Linked DNA regions of Saccharomyces cerevisiae S288C. The protein of the gene in region 2 purifies or fractionates together with the protein of the main gene of each other region. This does not show direct contact. Each region holds a gene or a part of one and is shown on either strand. Other genes may lie near its edges.

Region 1 (4,542 bases), on a different chromosome or scaffold from region 2:
ATACGAGGATAATTAAGATGCAGTCATCATAGGTTTCTCTTCAAAAGGAGAAAGTTTAAATAGGCAACTGACACTGAAGAGGTATAGTCATGCCTACCGCGATTTCTTTGACACAGAATTGAAAAATTTTGCATTTTTTGGTAATTTCCTAATAATACGAAGTGCAATAATCTCACTTTGATAGGAGCACGTCATGATGGTAATTTCATACTACTGAACGTAAATGTTGAAGGTGAATTTGTAAAGCTTTGTTATTTGAAGCTGTACACCTAAAGGGCGGTAAATTGTTGGGTGTTAGTACCATGCCATTAATTAGAATTTGTTAGCATTTTTATTCATTTGTGCATTATGGGTTCAAATTCATATGACTGAACGTGTAGTTTCATATCCAGTCATCAAGAGATGCTGAACCGCCCTTCAAAAACTTGACGAAATAGAAGTTTTTTTTTTACATTTCTCATATGTTACATAGATTAAATAGTACTTGATTATTTGATACATTAAGCTAACAAAGCCTTGGATAACTCATCGGCAAGATAGTCGGCTTCAGCCCTGTAATTCAAGCTGTGTAGGTTAGCAACGGTATATCTAATTCTGCTTTGATCATTGTATGTATCCTCACGCGCTCTAATCCTAAAGTCATATTCGTTCATTTGGATACTTTGAGTAATTTTTGTGAATTCGTTGGGGTCTTCTTCCTTCAAAGACATTAATGTATTAGCATCAACACCCAATAATTGTTTAGCTTGGTCGTCAAATAAAGTGAGCCATAGTTGATTGGTTTCGTCAATAATTGATATTGTCAAGATGTATCTCCAATTTGGCCTTGCATTATTGGTGTCGCACTTCTCACATCTCCAAGTACCATCAGGCTGTTCCAGAACTTTCTTATTACAATTCTCATTAGAACAGGCAGGATATGCAAAATTATCAACTTTTAAGAAACTTATAGCAGCTTTAACACTAAAAAAGTCACCTTTCTCGCTTCTTCCTAGATTTTCAGCTTGAGCTCTAGCAATAGTAATACGCTGAGCAATGAATTTTGTTAAGCTAGCAGCCGATTGACCACCCATACCGGGTTCTTGCTTTAAAGTGATGAAGTTTGCGTTGCGGCCCTTGGAATCATACCAACCCTTTAAGGCATATGCCTCAGGAATTTCTGGATTCGGAATCAGGGTACTAGAAAATCCCATAGACAAAGATTTGCCACCAAAATCCGTCACACGAACACCTTTAATGGCAGCAACAGAACCTTCAGGAAGGTTGAAATCAAGGGCTTGCTGATTCCATAGGCCAACAGAGATAGAAAACCCAGAGTCGTCAACAATTGTGATGTCACGACGATCGAATTTCTTCCCAGCCCTTGAAGTTAGCTCAAAATGTGGGTTTATAGTTTGGATAATACCGAGGACGTCTACGTTGGAATTTACTTCCTGGTTCTGAATAGCATCTAGTTTGATGAAATTGAAATGGGTTTTCGGAACATTACTTTCATCGAAACATTCTTCTATAACAGTGTCTCTATCCAAATTCAGTTCATAAGGGTGTGTTAGATTAGTAAATTGGGGCTTAGCTGGTTGGAGTTTTGCCTTTGATACATAGTATACTTTGCCTTCTTGTAAAATTTCGTTAAATTTTGTAGCAAAATCATTAAACGCCGTGGCTCGGATTTCTCCAGAGGTATCCAAGAAGTTGACATTGAATAGTTTACCATCACCTCTTTGATTGTGCCACGTTTTAATTTCTCCCTTGTAGGAAACTCTTGCTTTGATAGTCCAAACGTTTTGGTATGGAGACAGTTGTTCGATGGCAAAAATTGGTCTGGTTTTTTGCGAATTAGGGTTTTCATTGGCGAATTTTCTCTCATTTGCATTCAAGTTTGAGTTTGAATGCAGCATATCAGGGACACCAGCATTGCTGGCGTTTGTTTGATTGGCAACATTACCACTGTCAGTTATATCTTCGTCTTTTAAGGTTTCATTTGGATGCTCTGAGAAATAGTTATCCAAAAAAGTACTAGTTTGGTTGACCATATCAGCACGCGACTGGACCAACTCAAAGTCATCTACTAAAAGAACGTATTTCTTTCTTTCCCTGACAATAGCAGGTTCTGCAATTATCACGCGAATGATATCACCCCTTTGTAGTTCCATTGACTGGAACTTGGATGCAGCTTGGTTTCTCAACAGAGCCTTCATATGGTAAATACCATCGGAAATCATGATCAAATTCTTTCTGTTGCTGTTAGCCCCATCAGATTTCCTGGTGTTATAAACTTGATAAACGCCACCGGTGGGATTATCGTACCTTTGCTTATTGGTGAAGATGCTATGAAAATCGCCCCTCGAAAGTTGAACACTGCTCATCTCTTGTAAGTATAATCTGGTCTTCTTGCTGGTTTCGCCTTTACCGTAATAAGAAGAGTGAATAGTTTTTGTTTTACGTGTAGAACTTAAAGTGATAACATTTGTTCAAGTAAACCTTTATGTTAGTTCACGCGTCTTTTGTCGCCTCGTCTAATTTTTACGCGTGACATTTTTCCAAGCAGAGATATTTTATTGAGCAGCGAAGAAGAGTTAGAGAATAAGAAAGTGATGCGATAAGAAATCCACCCAATTAGCATAGATCCTTTCGTATATGGCTGAAGAAGGTGGTACGCGCATAGCTATTAACATATATGCAAAAAGAACGGCAAAAGGCGAGGAGGTTTTTATGCCACCGCTAGTATTTGACATAGATCACATCAAACTTCTAAGGAAATGGGGTATTTGTGGTGTGTTATCTGGAACTTTGCCTACTGCAGCACAGCAAAATGTATTTTTGTCGGTACCTTTGAGGCTTATGTTAGAAGATGTGCTGTGGCTGCATTTGAACAATCTTGCCGATGTGAAATTAATAAGACAAGAGGGAGATGAGATTATGGAGGGAATAACATTAGAGCGGGGCGCCAAACTATCTAAAATTGTCAACGATCGTTTGAACAAGTCATTTGAATATCAGAGAAAGTTCAAAAAGGATGAACACATTGCAAAATTAAAGAAAATCGGTAGAATCAATGATAAAACCACAGCTGAAGAATTGCAACGGCTTGATAAATCTAGCAATAATGACCAGCTAATTGAATCTTCTTTGTTCATTGACATTGCTAATACCTCTATGATTTTAAGAGACATACGGAGTGATTCAGACAGCTTATCCCGCGATGATATCAGTGATTTGTTATTTAAGCAGTACAGACAGGCAGGAAAAATGCAGACCTATTTCTTATACAAGGCATTGAGAGATCAAGGGTACGTTTTGTCCCCAGGTGGACGTTTTGGTGGGAAGTTTATAGCATACCCTGGTGATCCTCTTCGTTTCCATTCACATCTGACGATACAAGATGCGATTGATTATCATAATGAGCCGATTGACCTAATATCCATGATAAGTGGTGCAAGACTAGGAACGACTGTGAAAAAACTTTGGGTCATAGGCGGTGTTGCGGAAGAGACAAAGGAAACTCATTTCTTCTCAATAGAATGGGCTGGATTTGGTTAAGCTGGGAATCAGTCATGTATAATTATTTTCTCAGAATTTATGTATTTATAAGGTTTTTCAGAAGCATACATATGTGTAATACAATTTTTAAATTTGCATTGATATTTTGATGCATTCAGCGGGAAAGTAGTTGTTTATCACTAGACATATAATTATGTTTATTTATATTTAGTGGGAGCAAAACAGTTTATTGAATGTTTACCAGAACCGAAAAAAAAGCTCTTCTAAACTGTTGACATCCAGTTCATTTACTTCCACGTGTAGATGTGAAGGAACAAATATTTTAGCATCGTTCATACAAGTAATTATGCTATATTATCGATCCTCGGATTTCAGCTTCCGTTATATCGGATGATTGTTACTCGACCTTTATGTCGTCTTTTTACATCATATATGATAATATGCTAGCAGTTTTAATACAAATTGATCGAAGATAGTTGGTTCTGAGAAATGGGTGAATGTTGAGATAATTGTTGGGATTCCATTGTTGATAAAGGCTATAATATTAGGTATACAGAATATACTAGAAGTTCTCCTCGAGGATATAGGAATCCTCAAAATGGAATCTATATTTCTACATACTAATATTACGATTATTCCTCATTCCGTTTTATATGTTTATATTCATTGATCCTATTACATTATCAATCCTTGCGTTTCAGCTTCCACTAATTTAGATGACTATTTCTCATCATTTGCGTCATCTTCTAACACCGTATATGATAATATACTAGTAATGTAAATACTAGTTAGTAGATGATAGTTGATTTCTATTCCAACATACCACCCATAATGTAATAGATCTAATGAATCCATTTGTTAGTTAATAGTTTAAATGTTTTTATCGGAAGAGGTTTTGTCATCACATCAGCAATGTTCTTCTTGGTCTCGATGTAGTATACGTATAAATTATTACCTGATACTTCATCTCTAAGTCTCATTGCCTTTGTGCCAAAAAATCTGTTTCTAAATTTCTCTTCATTTGTAGACTTAATTATACTG
Region 2 (6,383 bases):
TGGGTAAAGTCGATGGTAAAATCATATGTTTCGTAGGACCCCCAGGTGTTGGTAAAACGTCCATAGGTAAATCTATCGCTAGAGCTCTTAACAGGAAATTCTTCCGATTTTCTGTAGGCGGTATGACGGACGTGGCAGAAATAAAAGGTCATAGGAGAACGTATATTGGTGCCTTACCTGGCAGAGTAGTTCAAGCATTAAAGAAGTGCCAAACTCAAAATCCTTTGATTTTGATAGATGAAATCGATAAGATTGGACACGGCGGCATACACGGCGATCCGTCCGCGGCATTGTTAGAAGTATTGGACCCTGAACAAAACAACAGCTTCTTGGATAACTACTTGGATATTCCTATTGACTTATCAAAAGTGCTTTTCGTTTGCACTGCTAACTCTTTGGAAACTATTCCAAGACCTTTACTGGATCGTATGGAAGTCATTGAGTTGACAGGATATGTTGCTGAAGACAAGGTTAAGATTGCCGAGCAGTATTTAGTTCCAAGTGCCAAGAAAAGCGCTGGTCTAGAAAACTCTCATGTTGATATGACAGAAGATGCAATAACAGCGTTAATGAAGTACTACTGTAGAGAAAGTGGTGTAAGGAATTTGAAAAAACACATCGAGAAAATATACCGTAAAGCAGCCCTACAAGTGGTAAAGAAGTTGAGTATTGAAGATTCCCCAACGTCATCAGCCGACAGCAAGCCTAAAGAAAGCGTTTCTTCCGAAGAAAAGGCGGAAAATAACGCCAAAAGCTCATCGGAGAAGACTAAGGACAATAATTCGGAAAAGACAAGCGATGACATTGAAGCCTTAAAGACCTCTGAAAAGATCAATGTTTCCATATCCCAGAAAAACCTAAAAGATTACGTTGGGCCTCCAGTCTACACTACAGACCGGTTATACGAAACAACTCCACCAGGGGTAGTTATGGGGTTGGCGTGGACTAATATGGGAGGTTGCTCACTTTATGTAGAATCTGTCCTTGAACAACCTTTACACAACTGCAAGCATCCAACATTTGAAAGGACCGGGCAACTGGGAGATGTTATGAAGGAATCATCAAGGCTTGCTTATTCATTCGCCAAGATGTATTTAGCACAAAAATTCCCTGAGAACAGATTTTTTGAAAAGGCGTCTATCCACTTGCATTGTCCTGAAGGTGCTACCCCTAAAGATGGTCCATCTGCAGGTGTCACTATGGCCACTTCCTTCCTTTCCCTAGCATTGAATAAGTCGATTGACCCAACGGTTGCGATGACCGGTGAATTGACACTTACCGGTAAAGTTTTACGTATCGGTGGGTTGAGAGAAAAAGCTGTGGCCGCTAAAAGATCTGGTGCCAAGACTATTATTTTCCCTAAAGATAACTTAAATGATTGGGAGGAACTTCCAGACAATGTAAAGGAAGGGTTGGAACCTTTAGCTGCTGATTGGTATAATGATATATTCCAAAAATTATTCAAGGATGTGAATACGAAAGAAGGTAATTCAGTATGGAAGGCTGAATTTGAGATTTTGGATGCTAAAAAGGAAAAGGACTAACTTTTCATCTAAATGGATTAAATACCTGTTTAAACATTCTGTAAATATTTAAACATAAACATCAATTTTATTACACAATACTAAATTCTTTCTTTTCTTCGTGAAGTATGTATGTGGGAAACCCAAGATGGCGGAATCGCGTGTAATATTATTTATCATATGCCTTTTTTAGGAAATCTAATTACTTACCGAAGAAAATAGGACAACGAAAAATTTCGAGAAACGAAACCAGAAAGTAAATGGTGAATATCCTATAATCTACACATTTTGGTACAGTTTACTTAATAATACTCCACACACCTCTTTGCCTCTTTTCTAAGAAGTATAACACAACTACAATATAAGTGATGTCTGATAATAGAAGACGTAGACGTGAGGAAGATGATTCGGACTCAGAAAATGAGCTACCGCCATCCTCACCTCAGCAACATTTTAGAGGGGGGATGAACCCAGTTTCATCACCTATTGGTTCTCCAGATATGATTAACCCTGAAGGTGACGATAATGAAGTTGACGATGTACCAGATATTGATGAAGTTGAAGAACAAATGAACGAAGTAGATTTGATGGACGATAATATGTATGAGGATTATGCGGCTGATCATAATAGAGATAGATATGATCCAGATCAAGTTGACGACAGGGAACAACAAGAACTATCTTTAAGCGAACGTCGCCGCATTGATGCTCAACTAAATGAAAGAGATAGGCTATTGAGAAATGTTGCCTACATAGATGACGAGGACGAAGAACAAGAAGGTGCAGCGCAACTTGATGAAATGGGCCTTCCTGTGCAAAGACGAAGAAGGAGAAGGCAGTATGAGGACTTAGAGAATAGTGATGACGATCTATTGAGTGACATGGACATTGACCCATTAAGAGAAGAACTTACTTTAGAATCTCTGAGTAACGTTAAGGCTAACAGTTACTCGGAATGGATAACACAACCTAATGTCTCAAGAACTATTGCCAGAGAGTTAAAATCATTCCTGCTGGAATATACAGATGAAACGGGTCGTTCTGTATATGGTGCACGTATTAGAACATTAGGTGAAATGAATTCTGAATCTTTGGAGGTTAATTATAGACACTTAGCGGAGTCCAAAGCCATCCTGGCACTATTTTTAGCTAAATGTCCAGAAGAAATGTTGAAAATATTCGATCTCGTGGCTATGGAGGCAACAGAATTGCATTACCCAGATTATGCCCGTATTCACTCCGAAATTCACGTAAGAATCTCTGATTTTCCAACAATATACAGTTTACGTGAATTGCGTGAGTCTAATTTGTCCTCTCTAGTACGCGTCACTGGGGTGGTGACAAGAAGAACAGGAGTCTTCCCTCAATTAAAATATGTCAAATTCAATTGTTTGAAATGTGGCTCCATTTTGGGCCCATTTTTTCAAGATTCTAATGAAGAAATTAGAATCTCATTCTGTACAAACTGCAAATCAAAAGGTCCCTTTAGAGTCAATGGAGAAAAAACTGTGTACCGAAATTATCAAAGGGTTACGCTCCAGGAAGCTCCCGGAACCGTTCCTCCAGGCCGTCTACCAAGACATAGAGAAGTCATTTTGTTGGCGGATTTGGTAGATGTATCCAAGCCAGGTGAAGAGGTAGAAGTTACCGGCATCTACAAAAATAACTACGATGGTAACTTGAATGCAAAGAACGGATTCCCCGTTTTTGCAACAATTATCGAGGCAAATTCTATAAAAAGAAGAGAGGGCAATACAGCTAACGAAGGCGAAGAAGGGTTGGATGTTTTCAGTTGGACTGAAGAAGAAGAACGTGAATTTAGAAAGATTTCTAGGGATCGTGGTATAATTGATAAAATTATATCATCGATGGCACCGTCTATCTATGGTCATAGAGATATTAAAACTGCAGTCGCGTGCTCATTATTTGGAGGTGTTCCAAAAAACGTCAATGGAAAACATTCTATTCGTGGTGATATCAATGTGTTATTATTAGGTGATCCAGGTACTGCCAAATCTCAAATCTTAAAATACGTCGAGAAAACAGCGCATAGAGCGGTCTTTGCAACTGGTCAGGGTGCTTCGGCTGTCGGTCTGACAGCATCCGTCAGAAAAGATCCTATTACTAAAGAATGGACCTTAGAAGGGGGGGCGCTAGTATTGGCTGATAAGGGTGTTTGTTTAATTGATGAATTCGATAAGATGAACGATCAGGATCGTACATCTATTCATGAGGCTATGGAACAGCAAAGTATTTCCATTTCCAAGGCCGGTATTGTTACTACATTACAAGCGCGCTGCTCAATTATTGCTGCGGCAAATCCTAATGGTGGTAGATATAATTCAACCTTGCCTTTAGCTCAGAATGTTAGTTTGACCGAGCCTATTCTGTCTAGATTTGATATTTTATGTGTTGTCAGAGACCTTGTTGATGAAGAGGCAGACGAAAGATTGGCCACATTTGTTGTCGATTCTCATGTAAGATCTCATCCAGAAAACGATGAAGATCGAGAAGGCGAAGAGCTTAAAAATAATGGCGAATCGGCGATAGAACAAGGAGAAGATGAAATAAATGAGCAGCTTAATGCAAGGCAAAGAAGACTTCAAAGACAAAGGAAGAAGGAGGAAGAGATCTCGCCTATTCCACAGGAATTATTGATGAAATATATTCACTATGCGAGGACAAAAATATACCCTAAATTGCATCAGATGGATATGGATAAGGTTAGCAGGGTATATGCGGATTTGAGAAGAGAAAGTATTTCTACAGGTTCGTTTCCAATCACAGTTCGTCATTTAGAATCTATTCTAAGAATTGCAGAATCTTTTGCTAAAATGAGATTATCTGAATTTGTGTCTTCTTATGATTTGGATAGAGCTATCAAAGTTGTAGTTGATTCCTTTGTTGATGCCCAAAAAGTCAGTGTTCGCCGCCAACTCCGCAGGTCTTTCGCAATTTATACCTTGGGTCACTAAAACTTTGTTATTCCTACGAATATCTGGATATGAAGATAAAAAATTCTCTGTCTCAATCCATGTATTGGCAATCCTATTTTCAATATACAAGTTTCCTTTATTTTTTGTATAATTTTTATACACTGTATCTTTAATTTCAATTCAACTAAATACTCAAGATCTAGTCAAAAGTGCATTATTTACTATCCAAAAAAAAAAAAAAAAATGAAGTAAAAAAGAAGTAACAAGACCGAATAAAAAAGGCTCATTACTGAAGTATTATATTCTTATTTTTGCCTTTTAATAATATACATTTACTTTACAGTGGAGGGGATAAGAAACATGATAACTATCAATTAGCAGCGCTAGGAGCTTCAGTAGAGGTTCCGGTAGTAGTTTCTGCGGGAGATTCAGTCGTTTCTTTTTCTTTTTCTTTTTCTTCAGCGCTTGGAGTAGCCTTGGCATTCGCATCAATACCAAAGATCCTATATAATAGCTCATGAGTATCTTCTTTACAAACCATCAAATTGATACACTTGTTGCCTTTCCACACAGGCAAGAATAAGTTTTCTTTGGCAGGGTCATTTCTTGACACATCAATAAAGGCGCAACCAGAGCTTAATTTTGTCATCTTTTCAACAAAATCATTATCGATGTTCTTCGAACGAATGTCGTCAAAGTTAGGGAAAGATTCGATTAACAAGTGTTTTAACATCTCTAAATTAGCTTCAACAATTCTATTAGATTTCATATGGTGTTTCATTATTGGCAATGATTCACTTTGGATTCTCCATGAACATTCGATATCACTTCTTTGAGAGACAAACAATTTTACACCAGAATAAATAATCTTCAACCTATCGTCATTCGCTTGAATAACATCCTTCAATGCTGGACACACAGTGTAAACCACTCTTGTTGGTTCACCAGTGGCGTTACGCACTAAACAAGTGTTTCTGTCGAAAATATTATCGATGCCGTAGAAATCCCAACAAACTTTTAAAGCTTCGTGCTGTGGATCAACGAAAACAAAAGGCTCTTCGTTCGCGTCACGTGGTAGTCTTTCTTTCTTTTGGACTTCTTCTACCTTTATTTTCTTTGTTTGAGGTCCTTCAGACTCTAGAGCTGGGGTTTCAGAAGATAGTTTCTCTGTAGCCGCCTCAGTGCTATCTTCGACTTTTTCGAAAACAGTAATGAAAAATCCGCCTGTGTTTTGTTGGTGAGGATAAACCCTCATACAATTTTGTAAATTGAATTTCGATGCCTCTTCTTCAGATGGTGAAAAGAAACTATCTAGTGTACCTTCGTCTCCTTTGGTTTTCTCAGTCAAATTTCTGTCATAGACAGGCCATTTGGATACACCCTTGGATCTTATTAGGCCAGGAAGCTTATCATCACAGTTAACTAATCTAATCTTGTCACCCCACTTTCTTAACGCTTCGGCAACAACCGCTTCATTTTCAATAGGATTTAAAGAACAGGTTGAGTAAACCAATCTACCGTTGTTCTTTAGAAGATGCAAACCCCTGTTTAATATATTCAGCTGAACAGCATGCAAACCAAGACCTGCTTGTGTGTTCCAGTCTTTCCAAACATTAACATTTTTCCTCATGGTACCATCACCAGAACATGGAACGTCACACAGGATTCTGTCAAATTTTAAAACATCATTCTTGTTATTTGAGTTGCCATGTAATCTGATACGTGGGAAGAATTGGGCGTCATGGTTGACAACCATCAAGTTGGCACTGTTCAATCTCTTCAATTGGTGAACCAACATATGAGATCTTCTGGCATCGGCATCATTAGCTACAACGAAACCAGATGGTTCATCTGTATCCTTGTGCAAGGCTTCGATTAATTGAGCAGTTTTGGAGCCAGGAGCAGCACACATATCTAAAACAGT

What was found. The genes of interacting proteins can lie anywhere in the genome.
Region 1: the proteins of MCM2 (region 2) and RFA1 purify together in Saccharomyces cerevisiae (affinity purification with western blotting; 4 studies listed by BioGRID). This does not show direct contact.

The regions. Positions count from the first base shown.
Region 1 is NC_001133.9:156,254-160,795, forward strand, and holds RFA1 (replication factor A subunit protein RFA1), read right to left. Parts: upstream 2,367-4,542; coding exon 501-2,366; downstream 1-500. Other genes in the region: COMPASS subunit protein SWD1, read left to right, coding at 1-32; tRNA splicing endonuclease subunit SEN34, read left to right, coding at 2,713-3,540; YAR009C (truncated gag-pol fusion protein), read right to left, coding at 4,344-4,542. UniProt on the Saccharomyces cerevisiae protein: As part of the replication protein A (RPA/RP-A), a single-stranded DNA-binding heterotrimeric complex, may play an essential role in DNA replication, recombination and repair.
Region 2 is NC_001134.8:173,035-179,417, reverse strand, and holds MCM2 (MCM DNA helicase complex subunit MCM2), read left to right. Parts: upstream 1-1,891; coding exon 1,892-4,498; downstream 4,499-6,383. Other genes in the region: ATP-dependent Lon protease PIM1, read left to right, coding at 1-1,544; NCL1 (tRNA (cytosine-C5-)-methyltransferase), read right to left, coding at 4,830-6,383. UniProt on the Saccharomyces cerevisiae protein: Acts as a component of the MCM2-7 complex (MCM complex) which is the putative replicative helicase essential for 'once per cell cycle' DNA replication initiation and elongation in eukaryotic cells.